Drosophila melanogaster: one gene and its partners. The protein of the gene in region 3 interacts with the protein of the main gene of each other region in a pairwise test. Each region holds a gene or a part of one and is shown on either strand. Other genes may lie near its edges. The genes, in order: CG17036, Eglp4, Obp58d and CG13077.

What was found.
Region 1: the proteins of Obp58d (region 3) and CG17036 interact in a two-hybrid assay, tested with the Drosophila melanogaster proteins (one large-scale study listed by BioGRID).
Region 2: the proteins of Obp58d (region 3) and Eglp4 interact in a two-hybrid assay, tested with the Drosophila melanogaster proteins (one large-scale study listed by BioGRID).
Region 4: the proteins of Obp58d (region 3) and CG13077 interact in a two-hybrid assay, tested with the Drosophila melanogaster proteins (one large-scale study listed by BioGRID).

Annotation. Positions count from the first base shown.
Region 1 is NT_033779.5:12,698,503-12,702,957, forward strand, and holds CG17036 (uncharacterized protein), read right to left. Parts: upstream 2,245-4,455; 5' UTR 2,013-2,244; coding exon 1,269-2,012; intron 1,205-1,268; coding exon 650-1,204; 3' UTR 501-649; downstream 1-500. Other genes in the region: PICK1 (protein interacting with C kinase 1), read left to right, coding at 1-319; CG5776 (uncharacterized protein), read right to left, coding at 3,388-4,455.
Region 2 is NT_033778.4:23,605,745-23,611,750, forward strand, and holds Eglp4 (entomoglyceroporin 4), read right to left. Parts: upstream 3,187-6,006; 5' UTR 3,063-3,186; coding exon 2,388-3,062; intron 2,308-2,387; coding exon 2,089-2,307; 3' UTR 1,848-2,088; downstream 1-1,847. Other genes in the region: Eglp3 (entomoglyceroporin 3), read right to left, coding at 14-232, 297-890.
Region 3 is NT_033778.4:22,703,855-22,709,520, reverse strand, and holds Obp58d (Odorant-binding protein 58d), read right to left. Parts: upstream 2,588-5,666; 5' UTR 2,574-2,587; coding exon 2,445-2,573; intron 2,389-2,444; coding exon 2,260-2,388; intron 2,206-2,259; coding exon 1,807-2,205; 3' UTR 1,749-1,806; downstream 1-1,748. Other genes in the region: CG30275 (uncharacterized protein), read right to left, coding at 1-142, 196-323, 383-490, 545-838, 1,055-1,369, 1,429-1,697; Obp58c (Odorant-binding protein 58c), read left to right, coding at 2,861-2,902, 2,959-3,307, 3,368-3,576; Obp58b (Odorant-binding protein 58b), read right to left, coding at 3,953-4,164, 4,229-4,580, 4,764-4,811; CG30259 (uncharacterized protein), read left to right, coding at 5,123-5,263, 5,334-5,586.
Region 4 is NT_033779.5:19,562,670-19,568,808, reverse strand, and holds CG13077 (uncharacterized protein), read right to left. Parts: upstream 2,947-6,139; 5' UTR 2,674-2,946; coding exon 2,368-2,673; intron 2,302-2,367; coding exon 2,109-2,301; intron 1,824-2,108; coding exon 1,513-1,823; 3' UTR 1,450-1,512; downstream 1-1,449. Other genes in the region: spi (spitz), read left to right, coding at 1-516; CG13078 (uncharacterized protein), read right to left, coding at 3,803-4,471.

The DNA of each region.
Region 1 (4,455 bases), on a different chromosome or scaffold from region 3:
TTCGCAAGTCGATTGCGGTTTCGAGGCTGTCGAACAGCCGGCGGCAATTATAAATGTGGAAGCGGCCAAGGCGTCCGTTGATTCGTCCACCTTACAATCCGCCAGCGAGAACGAAACGTTGCTCAAGGAGCTGGGCCTGTACGATGTGGATCTGCTCTCCAATCCGCAGACCATTAGCAACCAAAAGGACTCCATTGCTGCCCAAAATGATGGCTACGATTTCGACTTGTTCTTGAACCAGGCGACTGCAGCCACCACCAGTTTGGAGCGCGATCTCATGTCCTCGAATGCGGAGGAGATGGACCTGCTACTGCAATAGGCTACTTAGTACAAATATTAAGTAATGTGTTAGATAAATATTAAATGTTTCAGTATTTGGTGTAGATATCAAAAAATATTAAAAGCCTTTCAATTTAATAGTAGCTTAGACTTTCATTTATGTTTTATTTCTGTAAAGTTTAACTTTATGGAAAGCAAATTCTTTGCTCAACAACTGATTTAACTTTTTACCTTTGTACTAGTTTGTTTAATTGATGGAATTTCTTATATACTATGTTGTTTGAATAAATAAGATAGTAAATAAGAAGTCCTGTATTTACAAACTTGCACATTTCGTCCTGTTTTGATTTGTGTAAAATCCTATATTATCTTATGTTAAAGAAACCACATTTTCCACACTCGACTTGTTAGTCCTGCAAAACAGTTTCACGCAGATAGACCCAATTATGGATATTCCACCCAAGACCACAAAGTAGCTACCGTAAACCACGTACTGATCCCGCGGCTCCAGAGCGAATCCAACTCGCTCCACAACCGCAACGGTCAGAATAGTCTGCAGGATCAGACCCACCAACGTATTGATACCGAAGATCAAGCCGAAACTGTCCTCCACCAGATTCTCGGCCACCACGGCACCCGCCACCGTGATGATGAAGAAGAATACGGTGCAGAAAAGCACATAGTTCACGTAGGCCACCCAGATCAACTGCGTCTTGGCGGCATAGATGAGCAGAGCGCCCAGGGCAGCGGCACAGATGGATATGCCCATCATATACGATCCCCGTCGCTTATTGGAGTTCAGCAGGCCCGCCAGAATGGCTCCAATAGCACCCAGCAGCGTGGCCACGGCCTCCACTCCGCCATTGTAAACACTGAGCTTATTCGGTGCCACCTCTTTCCACAGGAACTGGATGTAGGAGATCACCTAGAGGATTTAACATAATTAGTTTATTACACACTTAACTTCTTGCAATAAACGGCCAACTTACTTGAACTTGACCACAGGTGGCCAATGCCCACCATATGCTCCACTGCAGCACGACGGGATTGGAGTAGGAACTAACGAGGTGGTACCACAGCAGGCGGCATGCGTTGGCAAAGGAGAACTTTGGTGAGGTCTCTTCTCCGTCGGCAATGGTAATCTTCTCGGAACCCGCGTAGAAGTAGAGGCTACGCGGCACACTGGGCAGGAACAGGGACACGGCCAGGGAGATTAGCTGCGTGGCCAGCGAGAGGTAGTGCAGCTGCCGGTAATCCATGCTATCGGTGGACACCAAAATCTGGGCAAACAGGCCGCCGAGGAACTTGCCGCTCAAGATGGCAGCTCGCGTGTGGCCCGTGACTACCTGATACTGCTCCTTGTTGACCTTGGCGTACATGTACGTGTAGTAGGCCACCTCAGCGGCCGTAAAGGTGCCAAAAAACACTTGGGCCACCTGCAGCATTCCCACGGTTTCCGTCCAGATAAGCATGGAGAACAGGGTAATGCCAGCCAGTGCCGATAGCACGATAACCGGTTTGTACCTCACCAGATCTGTGATGAGGAACACAATTACCAGCTGGGCCAGCACCGAGTACGTGCCGAAGGGATACACATCCTGATAGATTTGATCCGTCGTCAGGTTGCCATAATCCGAGGCTAGGTACTCTGTGACGTACGGCTCCGAAGGTCGAAACTCCCGGAAAAAGCCAAACGTGCACAGCAGCAGCGAGATCTTCAGCCAGCTCTTCATGTCGTAAATTGCGATACCAGGTGGGCTGTTCGCATGGAGACTCGAAACTCCAAGCTCCAATCCGGCGCCAGTTGTTTCGCCAATTGATAAGTGTCGTAACCAACGCGACGAACGCCAGCCGGCAACTGATCGCGCGAATCAAGAGCGCCTGGTAGCCCATCGCTCTCCGCCAAAGCGGCTACAGTGGTGGCCAGCAGTATTCACCCACAACAACCGGAAAACCAGAATCAGGTGAATTTTAAGGGGTTCAAAAAAAATCATAAGAAAACAGCAACATTCAATATGACAGGCATATAAAATTATTTCCAACGATTACTACAACTATACAATCAACTATATTATCACAAAAAAATATATATTTAATATACTTAAAAAATAAACTATCAACAAATAGTATTATTTTTAGAAGAAAAACGCTATATAAAATATATTTTACATTCAATATTTCAAAAGTTGTTGGAAAAGATATGCACATATGAACTTATATCCAAAGCACTGCAAATTCGTAAAACAATTAATTTAAGCTACTGTTGGGCCATAAAATTCGTATATTGTTTAATATATTTACACACATACATACAAATGTTTAAATCATGCGCCCAAGTTCAATGACCGTTAACTGTTAATGCTAGGGCCACTAAAAAACATAACTTAATATTGATTTTGGTGTTATTCACAAAATTGAACACTTCATATATTTATGGCCGCTACTGTACGAGTATGACCTCAAAAGACCGTGAAATATACATTTATCTACATTCAATTAATTTGGAGAATTTCTATAATTACAACTTGACAAATTTATAGATTTGGTTACAGATCACGGAGCAGTGAAAGTTGTAAATTTTAAATAAGTTTTATTTCGGTAATTGTCGAGTAAGCAAATTTATCGCACAGCAACAAAAATTAAGATTCTTGGATTGTTCCCCATCAATTTATTGACAATTAAGTGACGCATTAATTGGAAATTTGTTGAAAGCTCAACGTTTGCTCTTGATATTCACAATCGAGAGAATGATACTCTTTGAATTTAGAGGTTAAAAATAGAGCATTCAAGTTATCACCGATAGTTCTGCTATAGCCATCTTATCTTTGTAGTCTAATCTGCAGGCACTAAATATGAATTTCAGAACTGTCTAAACACCAAAGTCGACCCTCTAATCGGTTCTACTTTACATAACTTACATAACTACATACATAACTCCGATTTGAAGGCTGATCGAGTGAACAGATTTTGGAGAGCTAATAACATGGTAATTTGTTTAAACAAATTAAGCAGATTTGCTTTCGGTAATCTTATCGTCACTGTTTTGCGGATTCTTCACAATTAATCTTAAAATAGTTCTAAAGTCAAGGTTCCCCTGAGTTGTTTAATCTACTTCCGTTTGAGGTAATCTTCGTAGAGTTTCAACAACTCTGGAGAAGTCCGCGGAGGCACCGCCTTCAAGGCGTGCTCGAAGTCCGTCCACTTGACATCCTCCGCTTCGAAGCTTTGCTCCAGGGCTCTCAGGGCAGCCTCATGGCATACGGCTTGTATTTCTGCACCGGAATATCCCTCCGTCAGCTGCACCAACTTCTCCATGTCCACATCGTTTGATATCGGCATGGCACGCAGTTTGATCTTTAAGATCTCTCTACGTGCTTCACATTGCGGTAGTCCCACGTAGAGAATTCGATCAATTCGGCCTGGACGAAGCAGTGCCTTGTCGATCATATCTGGACGATTGGTGGCAGCGACTATGGTGACATTTTGCAGTGCCTCCACGCCATCCAGTTCGGTGAGCAGTTGCGTGAGGACGCGCTCTTTTACGGACGAACCAGAGCTGGATCCGTCGCCCTCCGAACGCTCGCCACCGATGGCGTCGATTTCGTCGAAGAAAACTATGGCGGGTGCCACCTGGCGAGCCTTTCGAAAGACCTCACGCACCGCTCGCTCCGATTCGCCCACCCACATGGAAAAGAGCTCTGGTCCCTTGATGGACAGAAAATTAAGCTTGCTCTCGGTGGCCAGGGCCTTGGCAATCATGGTTTTCGAGCAGCCTGGCGGTCCAAACATGAGGATACCCCTGGGTGGCTTGATACCCAGGCGTTGGAACTTATCCGCGTGCAGCAGTGGCCACTCGATGGCCTGCTGCATGGCCAAACGTAGCTCGGATTGACCGCCAATGTCGGACCACTGCACATTGGGACACTCGATGAGAACTTCACGCATCGCCGATGGTTTAATGCGGGTCAAAGCCGCCTGTAGATGCGGCATCTGTAGAGGATTCGGTTGCGCCTGCAGCATGGCAGCGTAAACGAGATTTGCTAAGTCTGCTCCCACGTAGCCATGGGTAATAGATGCAACGTGCTCCACTTCCTCATCGCTCAACTGATGCTCCACTGACTTGATGAGGCATCGTACAATTTCCAGCCTTGCCTGAGAGCTGGGTGCACCCAACTC
Region 2 (6,006 bases), 900 kb from region 3:
ATTCAATTCACACCTATTGCACTATAACCTCTCCGATCATTCGTATCTTGGCATCGGAAGTCCTCAGATCGATCTCCTCGTCGCCCTTAAAGGCCATGCGATAGATCAGCGAGGTCACAGCTCCTGCCACCAAAGGACCCACCCAGTAGATCCAGTGGTGTGCCCAGGAGTCGTTCCAAACAGCTGGACCCAGTGATCTGGTCGGATTCATGCTGGCTCCCGTGAAGAGACCCTAAAAGCAACAGACTTCCCATTAAGTAACACTTCGCAACTTTGAAACGCACCGAAATACCAACCGCTGTGAGGATCAGACAGGAGACGGTGAGACCGAATCTCACGGGCACCGAATCCTGCAGCTTGGCGTTCCGTGGATCCCACACCGAACAGGCCACCATGACCAGGCAGCAGGTAATGAGGAACTCGATGAAGACCCCCTGAAGTACGCTGATTCCGGGGGCCAGAATTGTCACACAAACACCCGACGGGTTGTCCACACCCTTGATGGAGTTCCCAGGCAGAACAGCCACCAGGAGACCATAGCCTATCAGGGCTCCGGCAGCCTGGGCCACAAAGTAAGCAATGGCCCGGATCCAACCGATTGCGCCGTAGAGCCAGGCAGCCAGGGTGATGGCCGGATTTAAGTGGGCACCGGAAACGGAGCCGAAGCACTGGATGGCGATGAGAATGGCCAGGCCGAAGGTGAGGCCACTGCGAAAGTGCGAATTCTGGAACAGCGGCGTTTCCACACAGCCCATGCAGGCTATGAAAACGAAGACGGCAGTCGCCGCCAGTTCACCGAAGAAGCAGGCTATCGCACTCCTTTGGTGTCCTTCCAGGCGCCACCTGGCGTTCGGATTGGACTCCTGCGATTTTTGCTTCTGTTGCGACATGCTGACGGAACTCTACTGCCGCAATTTTGGGCGGCTGCCCAAGTGACCCAACGTGCCAGCAAAATTTACGGCAATCAATCAAAATCCATTATAAAACCTTAATGCTAATTATCGAGCGCAGATTTGGGAGCAGCTCCCGCCCACCCATTCAGGATGGATCAATCCATCAAGGCGATTTTCGGGGGGCTTTGCTCAGCCGTAATTATCGGCCTGATAAGCGCCACTGCCATTTCGCCCGATTTGTGCTCAATCTTATCTCATTAAGATCTTTATCGAACGGCGAACGGGGTCGCCGAGACCTGGCCAATACTCGTACTTCTTGTGTGCCAGCCAGTGTCTGAATCGCTACAACAAGGCCAATAAACCTGGCCTATGGTGTTCGAAAGCTACTCGAAGGAATCACCCCGTGATTTCCAGAAATTCCAGAAGAGTGATGCAAATCCAGCATTAGCATATCACCCATAGCACATAGTCCCCTTTAAACCACATAGAACCACATATATCATTTGTGCTTCGTATACGGACTATAGACCCGAATGGAGTACGTAACGTACAATAACTGCATATTGTTGGTATATTTTGGCTTTATTTGGCTGATACGCGCGTCTCATTCGCAGCCTGCTGATAACGTTTTTTAGCCACCATTTGATTGGTCGATTTGGAGGTACTAAGATATTCGAATATCTTATGAACAGATTTTCCAAAGACCGCTTAAGCTGATGGGCTTTTTTCACTTTCGATTCCTGGAAAAAGCTTATTGGTATTTTTAAGCCCGGAAGTTACTTAGAGCTAATCAAAGCAAATACCTCGTTATTGAAGAATGAAAAGCTTTTAGATAATATGGACTCAACATGTTTTAAGATGGCCCAGAAGAGCAGAACTTCAGGTATCAAATAACTACCAATATCTTGTGTAGAATTTCTTAAAACCATAAAAATAATTTACTTGTTTTGTTTTGGTTTTAGATTAAAAATCTCGATGTTCTTTATTTCTGAAGGCAATTAGTGTTTTCACCAAGACGTTTATCGTTTCAAGGGCTTATGTAAGTGTGTGCACTTGGTTCGCCTTTTGAAACGTTCGAGCCACTTTGTGAAGACACTGCTAACATTAGCGTACAACGAATGCATTATTTTAAAATTCGGCATCTTAGATATTAACTAAATTAGTTAGGGCTTTTCCTACAGCAATGTCTTTGGCCTTACGACAGCTGGACGTCCTCCAGTTGCCGCAGCTTCTCATTGGAGGTGATCTCCGCCTCAACCACCTCGCGGCGGAAGACGACCTTGTAGGCGTAGGCGGTGATGGCGGAGGAGCTCAGCGGGGCCAGCCAGTAGATCCAGTTGCTCTCGAAGTGCTTGTTCCACAGGGCGGGGGCGAACGACCTGGCCGGGTTCATGCTGCCGCCGGTGAAGGGACCCTAAAACCAATGGTAGGGAACGAGGTTAATAATCCGTTTCGAGGCAGGTAAGGATTAGCCAACTGTTCGCTTTAACTTACGGCAGCGCAGGCGAGACAGGCGATGGCCAGGCCAAATCGAATGCCCACGGAGTCATGGAACTTGGAGTTGCGCGGATCCCACACTCCGCAGCAGACGATGACCAGGATGGAGGTGATTACGAACTCGATGCCGAGGGCCTGGCCCGTGGTTACGCTGGTGTGGGGCAAGGTCACGCAGAGCCCAGCGCCCACCGTAAGTGTGGGCGAGGGAAGCAGGACCATGAGCAGGCCGTAGCCGATGAAGGCGCCCAGCATCTGGGCGGCGAAGTAGGCAAATGCCATGCGCAGGGTGACCATCTCGTAGATGTAGGCGGCCACGGTCACGGCGGGATTCAGATGGGCACCGGAGACGCAGCCAAAGCACTGGATGGCGATGAGGACGGCGAAGCCGAAGTTCAGCACAATCTGCAGATGGTTGTTGGGAAAGAGGTCCGTCTTCACGCAACCCATGCAGCCCAGGAAGACCAGGATGCCGGTGCCGATGAGCTCGCCGAGGAAGGCGGAGATTTTGTCCAGCGTCGATCCCTTCATTTTGAAGACCTTACAGCAACTGAAATGGTCAGAGAAGCGCTTGAATAATGCCACACTAAAAAGCGAGCTACCCTCTCTGTCGCACGCCATCGTCCATCTCTTTCTCGACTCTAAGTAGACCTGCTTAGGAACTTCATCAATCATATCCTATCTAAGACCATCCTATCGTTTCGCAAAGCCCTCCTCGATTTGCACCTAATCCCCGCGACACACTTCTACAATCTCAACTATTGTGCAACTTTGTAGTTAGTTTGTCAAGCTTCTAGACCTTTGCAACTGCTGTTCTCCTTCGGCTGCCTGGACGATTTCCTGCTGGTTTTCCACCCCTTGCGGATCCATCCCCTGCTGCTCGAGGTTCATTGACTTGGCATCGATTTTCCAAACACCCTTTTTTGGAAGCACAACTTATGCTGCTGATCCGACAAACGATGCCTGCTGCGGGAATGCCATCGATGGCTGGACTGACATGAAGTAGCCGTGTACTAAATATAGTAGACTTGTGATTGCCGTTCGGCTGTCAATTGGGTTTATAGATAAATGGCCGAAAAAATGCGAATCAAATCACGACATGGCCATAAAACAATAACCAATCTTTTTCAACCTTATCGCCTGAGCGCCACTCGAGTCAATTGGAGTTCACTACGTTGCGAATTAATCCGTTTATTGTGATTGGTAAATCCCTCTTTCTGGTAGCCAGAACTCTTGTTTTTTGTTTTTTGAATTTCTTTGGTTTCGAGTGCCAGATAATTACCGAATCTCGTGGCTCATTTTGACACTTGTCCAATTCTTTGAGATCGCACTATATAATCAATCTTTTCCGTAGCTGGTGAAAATTCACAAAGCGGCAGCGCGACTGTCAATGTCAATCTGAGGCGGTGGAGTAGCCATAGGCAAATATTTATATCTGTGTCTATATAATATTGCGTAAATCAAAAGCCCATTTTTAGCCCCTGTGAGAGAGCAGCAACACACACAGATACACACACACACATATGAAGGGGACCGACCACAAGCACACACACACACACACACACACAAAGGCGTGGAAATTAGCGAATCCTACTGGTGAGCATAAAAAAGTCAAGTGTCCAGAATTTATGAGCATCTTAAACGCTCATTCGCTGCTCTCGTTCGCTTTTGCGATTATCTCTGGAGCGATGCTCCTTCTCGCTCCCACTCTTCCTTTACCAGTCACCTGGCTTAAATCATTATAAAATGGTAGAAACAATACGGATGATATTCCATGGAAACAAGGTTAGATATTAACACTTGGTGTGCAACTGACATACTGGTTTTGCTCTATCGAATTCATTCGACTTATTCACAGCATTTTATGAGAATTATAATATTAAAGGTGGTCCTTACATTTGTTTTTTAAGTAAATTATCATTTTCATTTAACTTGTTTCTTACTATTTGTTTGCCATGAGAAAGGCAAATCTGCTAAGCAATGATTGCTAGAATTAGTAGTAACCATAGTTCCTAAAATACGACATTTTCATTGCGTGTCATTCAAACTTAGCACTAAACTGTAATTGATAGCGAAAATCCCCATAATTATTTTCAGTGTAGTTGGTCGGTGGGCGGTGGGCATAACACTGTTATGCTGTGCAAGTGCGTGACGCGCTCGCAATTGAAGCAGGCGGCATATTGCGTATTGATAACAGCAGAGTGGCACACTATCAATTACCACCGTCGCTTCGATTCCTATCAATTGCAATTGCTGCAATTGAGGATGCGTTGCGTGAATCGGGCTACCACGCAATGTGGCAAACAAATCACGGCAAATCTCGGCACGCCTGTCGATCAAATTGCACGCAATTTGCGTAGTTATGTGTCTCAATAACAATTGGATCGTCAATAAATAATAACAATTTAAAGCAAATATTTTCAAAAGCCCTGCTGTTGCACACACACCCAGTACACACAGTGGCTCAGGTGATCAGAACTTTTGACCCTCACTGACCACGCCTAATGTTTTCCATTGCTTTCTCGCCATAACACACATTGGCATTGCCACAGAAAACGGTGGAGAAAATAGCACTGCTGGTTCATTTGCGTTTTGGCCCTTGGCCAACGGCAAATGTTTGTGTTTGGCCAACTCATTGACAGTTGGTTGGTCAAAAGAGAGCGACACGTTTTGGCAAGAGACAAAGAGATTAAAGGCAAAGCAGTAAACACGCGATGGATCGAAAGTTTAAAAATAAATCAAACACACCATCCGATCGGCAGCACAATAATAATAATAATAATTTAATTACCACCTGCACCTTTATCATATTTTCCATGCCCAGAAGGATCACGTATCATCCATGGGATCGCTGCATGGGCCACGATTTTCAATGGCCCGAGGGCCTAATTGACAACAAACCCCGTTTGGGATGATGGATCTTAATTATTATGATCCATTCTCAGCGTTTGTCTAAGTGATGGGACGTGACTGGGCGTTTCTACGTTCATATTTTGGGGAGTGCTAATCGCTGATGTTAACGGAAGTGGGGACTGTTAATTAACAGAGCGGTGCGATAAGAACGGGCGACTCCTCGGAGCTTCTCAAAAGCTCAGCTGCTAGGATGCGCAACTTTAACGAAGCTTCGATCGTTAGCTTTCGGCGAGCTTTTCGATGAGCTTCCTTATCACGCGGCATTATTATTAGCTAATTATGACTAAGTTGGTAATAGAGTGATAAGCCTTCGGCCAGAAGCTCGTCGTAAAAAACTTGTTAGCCTGAAGAACAGCTAATCAATCCGTGCCGATAAGCCTCACCCGCTGTTTGCTGATAGCTGTGGCTGTAGCTGCTTAAGAAGTGATTTTTGCTAGTGGCCCTAAAATGTTGGCCATAAACCATACGCCGCAACCACTGTCACTCGCACTGATAACCGATATCGAGCTGAGTGAGTGGTGATGGTGTATTGGGATTGGCGGTGTCTGGCGGCGCAATATCACAGGCTTAATTTGGCCATAATTGGGCCAACTCAAATCGGATTTACTCGTCAGACTTTTGACATCGCCCCGCATTTACGGCTCTTCCAAAGTGCGATAGTGATCGGTTGCCGACTTATTGATGTGCAACAACAACAACGTATACC
Region 3 (5,666 bases):
TGTCGTGCCACAATGCACCTGAGAAGGAAAACGTTTGATGCCGCCGCCATGGCCGCCGGACCTGCGGGCTCCGTTCCGGCCGGATATATAAAATTAATCACGCTTTGTTCGTGCCGCAGATAGTAATCGGTGCTGTGGAGTTCTAGATAAACCCATGTTATGAACGGAGCATCCGGCATTCGCAGTACAACTCACTCTCAAGAATGTACTTGAACTTGGAGTACAGACATTCGCGCATGTAGAACTTATTTTCATTCGCCACATTTGTATCCACAATTGTGCCGCCAATGGAGCTGACCTTCATCTTACCCAGGCTGGCCACGCTGTTGAGAAATATAAATCATTGTGGATATTTGCCTTACAAATTAATAAATAATCACACCTCATACCGCTGTCAACCTTTTGCAGTCCTCCCAGAATCGTCACCGCATTCAGATCGTCGAGGGCATCTGCGGTGAACATGCTAGCCTCCGCTCTTCGCTGTACCGATCTGCAGGACAGTCGGTAAGGAATTACTCTTTCCGCACGTAAAGCCATCACTTACGACACCGTCATCGTCTCGTAGTGGAAGGACCTTCCATCCGCTGGCTTCACCAGATTGCCAAATTGTTCCATCTCGTAGTTGCGCACATAGAACATAATGTCTATATCCGAGGACAGCCACAGAAAGATGGCCATTTCTGACTCCTGCGACTGATTGATTGTTTCGGCCACAACAAGCATACTCTTCGGATTCTGTCCCATTACCTCCTCGGCAATGTAGTAGTCGCCCAGCTCCTCTCGCATTTCTGGGTTCTCGACCTCTTGCATTGCTATAATATCGTCGTTATCTTCGGCCCTTCATGGGAAATATTTAAAACAAAACAAGAATGTTATTGAAACAGTTTCTTCAAATGCCTAACAATATCTAACAATATCTTAGTAGGCGATATCGATTTCAGACAAACTGATTAGTAGTCTGCTGCTTTTTAAGAGGCATTTGAATTTAAAATTTCAAATGCTATTTCTGATATAGTATACAATTTGAACAAGGAGCACAAAGAACAGAGCTTACAGTGCCTTCCGGTAAGTAATCCTCGGCAGAATTACGAACCTATCCACAATGTACAGGGACTGTGTGTTGTTATTCTTATCCATGCTATATTCCAGCGGGTAAAAGACCTGGGATATTTTTTCCAAATCATCGAAGGTTTCCACAAAGTGGATGGGTTGTGGCACATACGGACACCTAACAGTGATCAGAAACCACACCCTGCTCTCCCTGTAGAGCACATCCTTTATGATCTCAACCAGAACCGGGGACTGATCGCTCTTGTAGACGCAAAAGTTGAAAAACAACGCATTCAGCCAGCTAATGGACATGGATAGGCTAAAGGATATATCGGAAATAGATGATATATTCAACGTTTTAAGTCCTTGTATCAGTACCAGTATCTGGTGGACAACCATTCCAACCAGCAATCCGTGGGCAAAGCGGCAATGGAGGGATAGTTACGGAACTCGGCATAGGCCACCAATGCGGAGGATTCAGTGCAAAAAGCCAATATCCTGTAGGTCTGATAGGAATTGAACAGGGAGTCCTTGCCACGAAATTTCGGACGGATATTGCCGAACCACTTGACACCTGGCGATCGAATCAGCTTGTTGAGCCCATCCTGGTCTCCCGCTTGAGCCAAGCGAATCTGAAACTGATTCATCAGTGCGAATAATTTATGTGTGTGGTGTGTGATTAAAACTAAAAAACATACTGCGTTTATAAGCTTAATTTTATTACATGACATTTTTGAGTTTTTTTAATACGTATTCTTAGGCAGGACTCTTTGTGGGCAGTGTAATTCCATCTATTTGGTAGCATTCGGCTTTGGCATTTTCGCACATATCCTTAGTTCCTGCCTTGGCAGTGCCCTCCCACCGGAAGTAGGGACACTCGTGCTTCTGATGATAGTCACTGATGCACATGAATACCATCAATAGATAGGGGCGACAGGCTCCTTTCAGGAGCACCTTAGCCCCAGGACTGGCCTTTAAAAGGTTGTAGACCCCAACAGCATCCTTGCGACAGAACTCGAACATGGCAATGTGATAATCCTTCTCCTTGGGCCGATCCACAAATGTCTTTTCTGCATCCAGCTTGACCATCTTCATGTTGATGGTGTCGCTCTTACCAATGTACTTCTTTTGCTTGTACAGGCACTCCACAAAGCACTGAAGATACAAATATTTTCGTTATAATAGATATATAAAGCTTTAATTACCTACCGATAGAAACCTCAGTGTCTTGCCGATGTCAGCGTCCCCATCCACTGGCAACTTGGGTGAGTGTATAACGAAGCACTTGACCAGGTCCTCCTCTTCTCCTATATAAAGTTCAGAACAGCAGCCAGCCCTCTAAATTGAATTTTTAGACTTAATACGTTTGCTGTTCGGTTTTAAAGTAAGCTCACCGATGTGTTACACTTATCCTCAGTCAAGTCACCTGAAGATATGGCAACTGCAGTAGTTTCCTCATTATCCTGAGCCTTTGAAACGGCCACCAGAATTAGGAACGTCCAATAACAAACAATGTTGACCATTGCTTTTCGAATGTGATTAATTTACCATGGTCATAACATTTATAAAACCATGCGTGCTCATCATTTTGGATAAATGAATTTAAACCCAAATTGGATTGCTTAATTAAATGTAACAAATGTCCATTGTAATGACTGGAATTAAATGAGCGGATAAAGAAACATTTGCAGACAGTCTGATGGCTCGACATTTGGCAAATTGGCAGCGGTTTCCTGTTTTTATTTAAACGATATGTGGGTGACTATATAAGCTGTCGTAGTGGGCTGATTTTGGTATAAACGGCGGAGCAATGAAGTGCACCATTTTATTGAGTTTTTTCAGCCTGATTTGGGTGAGTTCGAGGAATGAAATTCACACTGTTTATATATATTCAAATACATGACTTAGTTTGCTGGTGGAATTAAAATTGATTGCGAGAATACGGAGGCCATTAACGAGGACCACATCCACTATTGCTGCAAGCATCCCGATGGACACAATGATCTAATCGAAGGATGTGCCAGGGAGACCAATTTTACGCTGCCCAATCAAAACGAGGAGGCACTGGTGGACATCACGGCGGACCGAGCCATCCGAGGCACTTGTTTTGGCAAATGCGTCTTTAGCAAACTGAACCTGATGAAGGACAACAACCTGGACATGGATGCCGTGAGAAGTTTGTTCACTGAAAGGTTTCCCGACGATCCGGAATATGCCAAGGAAATGATCAACGCCTTTGATCATTGTCACGGCAAAAGTACAGAGTTGTTATTTCAGCAAGAACTTCTTGGCTAACTGATATTTTTTTCACCAAAAGGCGAAGAGAATACCTCCATGTTCCTGTCGAAGCCCCTCTTCAAGCAAATGTCCAAGCAATTCTGCGATCCGAAGTCTAGTGTCGTCCTGGCCTGTGTCATCCGCCAGTTCTTCCACAACTGCCCGGCGGATCGCTGGTCGAAGACCAAGGAGTGCGAGGATACCCTGGCCTTCAGCAAGAAGTGCCAGGACTCGCTGGCTACTTTGTGAATAATGAGAATATCATTCTTCTGCAATAAAGAACATTAAATTTACGATTTACGACATTCGAATTATTTTGTTTAGATGAAAAAATGTTATGCATTCAGAATTATTCTGTATATTTGGATGTTTTTTTTTTTATAGGGATGTAATGGTAAACAAATACGATCAACTTGACATTAGTTAATATCGTATTTTTGCAAGTGATTTGATAACAATAAATCCATTTAATTAAATGTATTGCTGAGTTGGCATTCAATCACCCACCATTACTTATAAACCAAAAGAGCACATGAATTGAGAGCCATTGTTTTGCTTTAATCATTGGAAAATCATTTCGTTTTCCCAATTAAAATGTATTTCCTGAGGCAGGACTCTAAAGTGCTTACATAGTAGTCAGCACATCCTTGCACTTCCTAGCAAAGGCCAAGGTTTCCACGCACTCGGTGGTATTTGACCAGCGACTCGCTGGACAATTGTGGAAGAAGTTGTAGATGACGCAGGACATGATGATACTCGAGGTCGGCTTACAGAACTTGGCGGTGGAGAAGGCCCTAACAATTGGAAGTGATAGGAACTTTTCGGTGGCCTCTTCAGCTAAAATTTGGAATGGAAAAATTCAATTTTAAACTATGTTGATGGTTATTTTGCATGAGCTCACATTGTGTGTGACATTTTTCGTAGGCATTCAGCATTTCAGTCGCGTACTCCGGATCTGTTTGATGGTACCGCTTGTAGTACGAGCGCACCTTGTCCATATCCAGTGTGTTGTTCTCCATCAGATTGTAGTGATCGAAGACGCACTTGGCCCAGCAGGTTCCAACCATCGCCTGGTCCACGGTCACATCCACGATGGCCTCCTCATTGGGACTGGGCAAACGAAAGTTGGTCTGCTTGGCGCAAGATTCCGTGACATCGTCGTGGCCATCCTGATGTTTGCAGCAATGGTGGATGTTCTCCTCGTGAATACGCTCCATGTGCCGGCAATGAACTCGGACAGCCACGAGTCCATTCTGCATAGAAATATGCACATATTAAAGGATTAAAAAGTAGCTCGAATACGGATCCCCGATGGACCTTGAACTTTCAAAATTATTATGTACAATAAATCCGATCTAGTGTGGATAATCCATTAAAAACACCCTCGAACATTATCCAATCCAGAACAAATTGAAAACGGTGTTATGAGTACGTACCAAGCGCAGTGATATAATCACACAAATCACGAAACCAATTCTCAGCATGATGACAGCTTTCCAGCGGTTCGTCCTCAGTTTTATATGTCAAATGGTTCCCCTTTGATGGACAGCCCTAATGGCGTTTTCCACTGTTTCGCATTAATTTAATTCGCATCCATTATTATGGCAACAAACCTGGCGACGAAAAGCGAAATTATATGGAGTGGGTGGGCTAGTGAATCTTGTCATGGCAACGCCGGCAGTCAATTTATTATTTATTTTCCAAGGCGGCTCTTTGCTCGCCTAATTAGTCAGAGATTGGCCTTTGAAATTTGATAAGCTGATTTTTGGTAGCCGTAAAAAAAAAAAACTAAATCATGGGCAAAAAGGGTAAAGGAAAAGGCAACAAATTGGCCAACATGTCCGAGGAGGAGCGGGCCAGGTATTTGCAAATGAGGGCCGACATGGAGGAAGAGACGAGGCGGCGGAAAATGCAGCTCATTTCCATGTACATGAAGGTAACACACCACGAATTTGCAGTAAATCAAAATCAAAATCCCTATGGTATGACTTTTCCCATTAAAATAGAACAAACTGAAAAGAGAGGATGCTTTTGGTCGACTCAATATGGCTAAAATCAACCAGGAGTGGCGGAGCATTTTGCGCCAGGTGAAAATCCAGGAGCTGCGCCGCGAAATCGTCGATGTGGAGTCTTTCTTTCAGGAGGCACTTAAGCGCAAGGACCAGGTGATCCATCGCCTCATTGCTCACATAGAATCCACCGAGGATATGTACGCCAATCTGCAGCAGTCACACATGGAGAATATCACCAGGATAGTTGGTACGATTGGGATAACATCCTTAAAAATAACATTTTAATCAGAAACTAAATACACAGCTACAGCAATATGTTTAAAGATA
Region 4 (6,139 bases), on a different chromosome or scaffold from region 3:
CGCACCACCACGACGACCACGCCCAGGCCCAATATTACATTCCCCACATACAAATGTCCGGAAACCTTCGATGCCTGGTACTGTTTGAACGATGCCCATTGCTTTGCGGTGAAGATAGCCGATCTACCGGTTTACAGCTGCGAGTGCGCGATTGGCTTTATGGGACAGCGATGCGAATACAAGGAGATCGACAATACTTACCTGCCCAAGAGGCCGCGTCCGATGTTGGAGAAGGCGAGCATTGCCAGTGGAGCCATGTGTGCCCTGGTATTTATGCTGTTTGTCTGCCTGGCCTTCTATTTGCGCTTCGAGCAGCGGGCTGCCAAGAAGGCCTACGAACTGGAGCAGGAACTGCAGCAGGAATACGACGATGACGACGGCCAGTGCGAGTGCTGCCGCAACCGGTGCTGTCCAGATGGCCAGGAGCCAGTCATTCTGGAGCGCAAGCTACCCTACCACATGCGGCTGGAGCACGCGCTAATGTCCTTCGCCATTCGACGCAGCAACAAGCTGTGAGCGGAGCGAACTATGGAAACTATGAAAAGATATAGAAAGTCGAATTTCGAATATGCCTTGCCCAACACACAATTCTTAACTGGGCTTTAGTCGATAGCTGATAACTCCTATTTACCTACCGCATGCTAAAGATCTGTTCACCCGATTCTATATAGAGATCTTGACTTTCTCTTACCAAAAGTTACCCAGAAAGGGGGTTTTAAAGCCAGACAGCCTTGTATTACCCAATTGACTATGAATTTTAATACCTAACGCTAGCTATTTATTATTACTGCTAACTGATATACGTATCACACACACAACGCGACACACGCGCCAAGTATTATTTATTGCGAGAGATTTAAGAAGAAATGATATGGATTTTCTAAATAAACATACGAAACTGCACCATGCAAAATACACGGTTTTTTAATTTAAGGTGCCGGAAGTCAAGATCTTCTTTTTACGGGGCTTCAAAAGTTTGGACTTATTTGGGACAGTTACTATCAATTATGCGGCCTCCAAGTGTCACAAACCGATCAGATAAAAAACCCGGTCATGTTTTGGATTTTAAAATGATGCATGCTACCCAATGCTGTTATAGGAAAATGAATAATAGTATAACTTAAATTATAAATGATCATAATTTTGATTGATTAATTCAAATGCTGGCTTTTTGAGTGAGCGGTTAAACTTAAATGCAAATTGCAGTGTATCTAATAGTCAATTCATTACTTTTTCAGACCTTATCAAATCAAATCAATCAAAAGGGTGGTTATATAACTTTTACAGGGGGGAGTACCGGACGATGAAAGTCTGACCGCTGGTTAACCGGGTTTTCCCTAATGAGGCATTGTAAAAATACTTAGTCATGTTTATGGATCACACGTTGTACCAATAAACAGGTATAAAATTTTGAATCGTTGTTGGTATAGTTGGATAGGTCGATAAAATGGGGTTTTAGAAAAAATTACATTTATTTATCTACATACATTCGAGTGATTCTTTTCATCCTATCTAAAACTGTTGCGATATATTTTTGCATTTCTGATAGAGTGCCTTCATCGGTCCGTAGCTCGACAGGACCAACGATATGAGGGTGAGGCACTTCATCAGGATTTGGAAATCCGTCTCACTTCGGCTCTTAAAGTAGCCCGTCTGGTAGCCATAGTACTGGGTCACCAGTGCGATCACAAAGCACGCGAATCCCAGGAAGTTGTGGAACGTCTTGTTCAGCAATGGTGTGATTAGCTTCTTGATGCGGCTGGAGAAAAGTGCAGCCAGTCCCGAGGACATGGCCAGAATGCACAGTACGAAGGCGGTCATCCCTGTTGGCGAGAAGGGAATCTATTAGTGAGTGCCTTTTAGGATTTTTGTTGCCTGTTAGGTGATCATTAAATGTACTACTAAAAAGATAGTAAGAAAGCGATAAAACTAAAGTAAATATGGAAAATGGGGGCGTTTGTTCAACAAATAACAAATTAAGTACTAGCTTAGACTGGGAAGCACCAAGAAATGGATCCTTGGAACTATTCTATTCCACTGTTTTATTCTAATGTATTAGACATCTGCTGCTATTTAATAGGCATTGTGCGTGTCTGTACTCTACTCACCCAGCCTCCCATGTGTCGATTGCAGCAAAAACCCCTTTTGAATCATCTTGATAAGAGCACCAGCTGCCCCGCAACCGCCTCCCAAAGTCAGGAGCACCCAGTGAATGGTGGTCTTCGTCTGGCGCTTGTATCCATTTGTCAGCACATTGCCGCCGTAGTGGATCATGACGCCCTCGGCCATGAAGAAGGAGAACTGTGGTGTGGAATGAAGATCTTCAGTGCCCGCTTAGACGGTGATGGTGATCCCCCAACTATTTACCCCGATGGTCACTAGCCAGGCATGCAGACCCGTGCCCGAGAGCCCCGTTCGCAGCGTGAGATAGGAAATATAGATGGTGATAAATCCAATGCACATCTGGTTGAGAACGTTAAGGAAGTACTCCAGTCTCTGGAGGCGATTCTCGGCCTCGTGGCCGGACAGGGAACCGTGGGCCATTTTCGAATAGCGACGCGGGGATTCGATCGGAATAAATGTGGGTCGGCGTGGCGTATCCGTCCGGAGCGTGCTGCCGTAGTCGGCGGATGTCTGAGTTCTACTAAGCACTGGCTGCTTACTCTCGGACATTGTGTAGTTTCAGTTTTCAGTTTTTCGCTTGCCGGCCTTTATCAGTGCGCGCTGGAATAATGTTATTTTCGTGTTAACATTCATACATTTGTCGACTGATAATAATGCCTGCCACTTTTCACAGACAAATTGCGGCAAATTTTTTATTATTGGCAAAACCAGTCGTGTGCTCAAGCTACGACAGCAATTAAAGTTTTAGAATTCGACCGATACGATACGCTCAATGAACTTGGTTAATCAAACCATTTGGTCGAATGTTTATGAGCAACTGGCGAAGCCATTCTTGCAGCGTCATTTACAAGTTGACTGGACTTGACCACAAGATTATTTAACTCGCCATTCCTATTCATATCGGTTTACGCTCCGGGAAGCTATCAAAGTGCAGCCAAAACCGCAACTAGACCTTCGCTCGTATGCCATTTTCAAATTTGCGATGCCGCGCAAAGTCTTGCTGCGATAGGTATTCGTTTCAATTTGCACTTATCAACACTAAACTAAAATTTAATGCAACAGTGATGGCCGTTTAGCTCTAAAATATCTATATATATCTAAGTCAATGTGCAATATTTGGTACTGCGTTGGTTCCTAAAAGTACGTTGCTTTTTATTGAGAGTTTCTTTTTTATTCCATAAAAAAACCCATAAAGAAAGCTTTAGAATTGGACGGATTGCCAACCCCTCAAAATACGTTGCATACCTAAATTGCTTATTTGGGTGCCATAACATTTATCTTTTGCAAGTGAGCGTATGCGTAGTTATCTTTTGCAATTACGTTTTTATACTTTAAGGTGCTACGTAAGCCCCCCTTCTCTTTGCAAGAAGAAAACCAAATATTTAATATTTATTTAACTGATAAAAGCAATTCTTGCTTGACATATTTTATTTTTTGACAGTAACACGGTCGTTTGTTTTAGTTAAATTGTGAAACACATTCTTTTTTTGGAACTTAGAGAAAAACCCAAAAAAACGATATATTTTAATGTAAATAAGTCGTAGTCATTTTTTATTTTTTTCTTAGTCATTTGATTTATCCTTATGATAACATTAGTTTAATATATAAATAGCAAATAGTCTAGCTTAGCTTAAGTGCACTATAGATATACAGGATTAGGGATAATCGACAGGCGTTCCTAACTGGCCAGGCTACCAATCTTCTGGTAGAGCGACTTAATGGCGCCAATGCTGGTTAGGACCATTAGGACCATAGTGACGACCTGCATGAGGACAACGAAATCCTGTCCTTGTCCCCTGAAAATTCCAGTCTGTGTGTATCCGTAAAACTGCGCCATCATGGCGATCACGAAGGCGGTGAAGCTGAGGACCACATGGAAGGTCTTGTTGACCAAGGGTGAGATGGTCCTGCTCAGGCATCTCGCCAGGAAGGCGACCAGTCCACTCAGCAATGAGATCAGACACAGGACGAAGGCGGCGAAACCCAGGCGGGCATGTAACGTGACGCTGATTGACCAATCGTCACGTATTAGTTGAATCAAACAGCCGGCCACGCCCATGCCTCCCCCAAGGATCTGAAGGACCACGTGAAAGGCAGTCTTGTAATTCCGGGAGTAACGCACAGTTAGCCAACTGCCGTCGTAGAAGCACATCATTCCCTCGGCCATCAGGAACACAAAACCGAAGGTAACCAGCCAGGCATGCAGGCGAATGCCCGAGAGGTCCTGGCGCAAGCAGGTCCAGCTGATCCAAATGGTGACGAATCCTATGCACAGCTGGTTGATCACATATAGCGCCGATTCTATATGCTGGAGCACTGAGGTTGGTTTTGTTTTGTCATCGCTCATTGTGGCGTTGCTTTAGAATTGTTTCACAGAAATTGTAATTGCAATTTCAAGAAATTGGTAATTGAAATTTCAAGAAATTGGAAATTTTAATTTTAATTTCACAAACACTGTTATTGTAGTTTAATTTCACAAAAGTTGTATGTTTTTAACCTAGTTTCATATAAATTCTAGGAAAAGATGCAACCTTTAAATTCCTATTGTAGTTGCCAGGAATCGCTTAAATATCCTTTTTAAGGATTCTTATTAATCGTTTTCCAATAAATAAATGAATAGAGCCTTTTGTTTCAAAATTCAAAGGATTTTTAAGGATTCTTCCTTATGTGAACTACCTTTTTCGACTATCGATCCGCCGTGCATTAGCTATTACAAGCCACTATGCGCAACTGAGGTTTTTATTGCCTTCACAATGGCTTTGTGACTTTCACTAGACTGACATACAATTTGTTTGCTATCGAGTTATCAGCGAAACATTTTGGGTGCCCCATTCTAATGCAGTTGACTTAAAGGATTATACAATATTATTGAGTGGTCGGGGCTGCATGTACACGTTCGCAGTATCGTCGGCGAGGAGATCTAATCGACCTTATCGACATCCATTCATTCACGCATCGATGCCGGGGCTTTCGGCACCGAAGTAAAACAGGATTACCATTCACGGGCGCTCGAATATGCGATCGCACTCACGTTGAACATTCCACGAAAACGTCATGAGCCGGGGTCTAAATTTAGAGGGGTTATTAATATTAATTAGACTCTCGTCACTCGAGTGCTCGCCCACTCGCGATCCACTTATTGATAATATACATAATACTCATGTAGTCCTCCTGTCGGATCGCAAGTCAGCAGCGCCTTATCGGAATGCAAAATCGCACGTACCAGATAAAAGTTACCACCTACTTGAAAATATAGAAACATTGTTGATGTCTTTGGGCCAAATGTCTGAGCAGGCAAGTTGAACCTTAGCCAGTCAATAAGTCACTAAGACCGAAACAGATAGATTCTGAACCATCCACGCGCCTTAAGCACTGTGGTTGTGATAAACCATACTCATTTTGATCAAATTAGCTAGCGCAATGTTTACAAATACTTTTTGCTGACTCAGCGGTTTCATATCGGCGATCTGACATTGAAGGTGATTAAGGTATATTGGATTTGACTTTGAGTAGTACCATAAAAATGCGGGCTATTGGAAGCGTGGTGCCCTGATTAATATGACACGGCTTGATTTACGAGGCTGTGGACTCAAGACTGGAACTTTAAGTGCCTTTAAAGTCGTCGAGCTCCAATTTTAATATTGATAATATTCGGTTGCCTTCCGGCCATAATTATCATAGATAACTAAACTGGAAGGCTTAAAATTGGTCACTTCATGTGTTATGTACGCCTCGACGGGAATGCATTTGCTTTCATTCTTGGCCAGACTTTCGAAGTGGACAATGACCACGGAGTCTTCATTCTTGGTATCCACGGACTGCGTGAAAAATGGATAATTTGACGGGGTTATATTATCATTCAAAGAGTTGCAAACTCACCCCAACTCCTTCGACATCCCGAATTCTCTTGAAGCTCGATTTATCCGAGCTGTATCCAGAGATCAAGGACACCTCCAAAACGGCCATATTCGAGGCATTTGTGCTCCTCTCCACGAACTCCACGCACACGACTGCC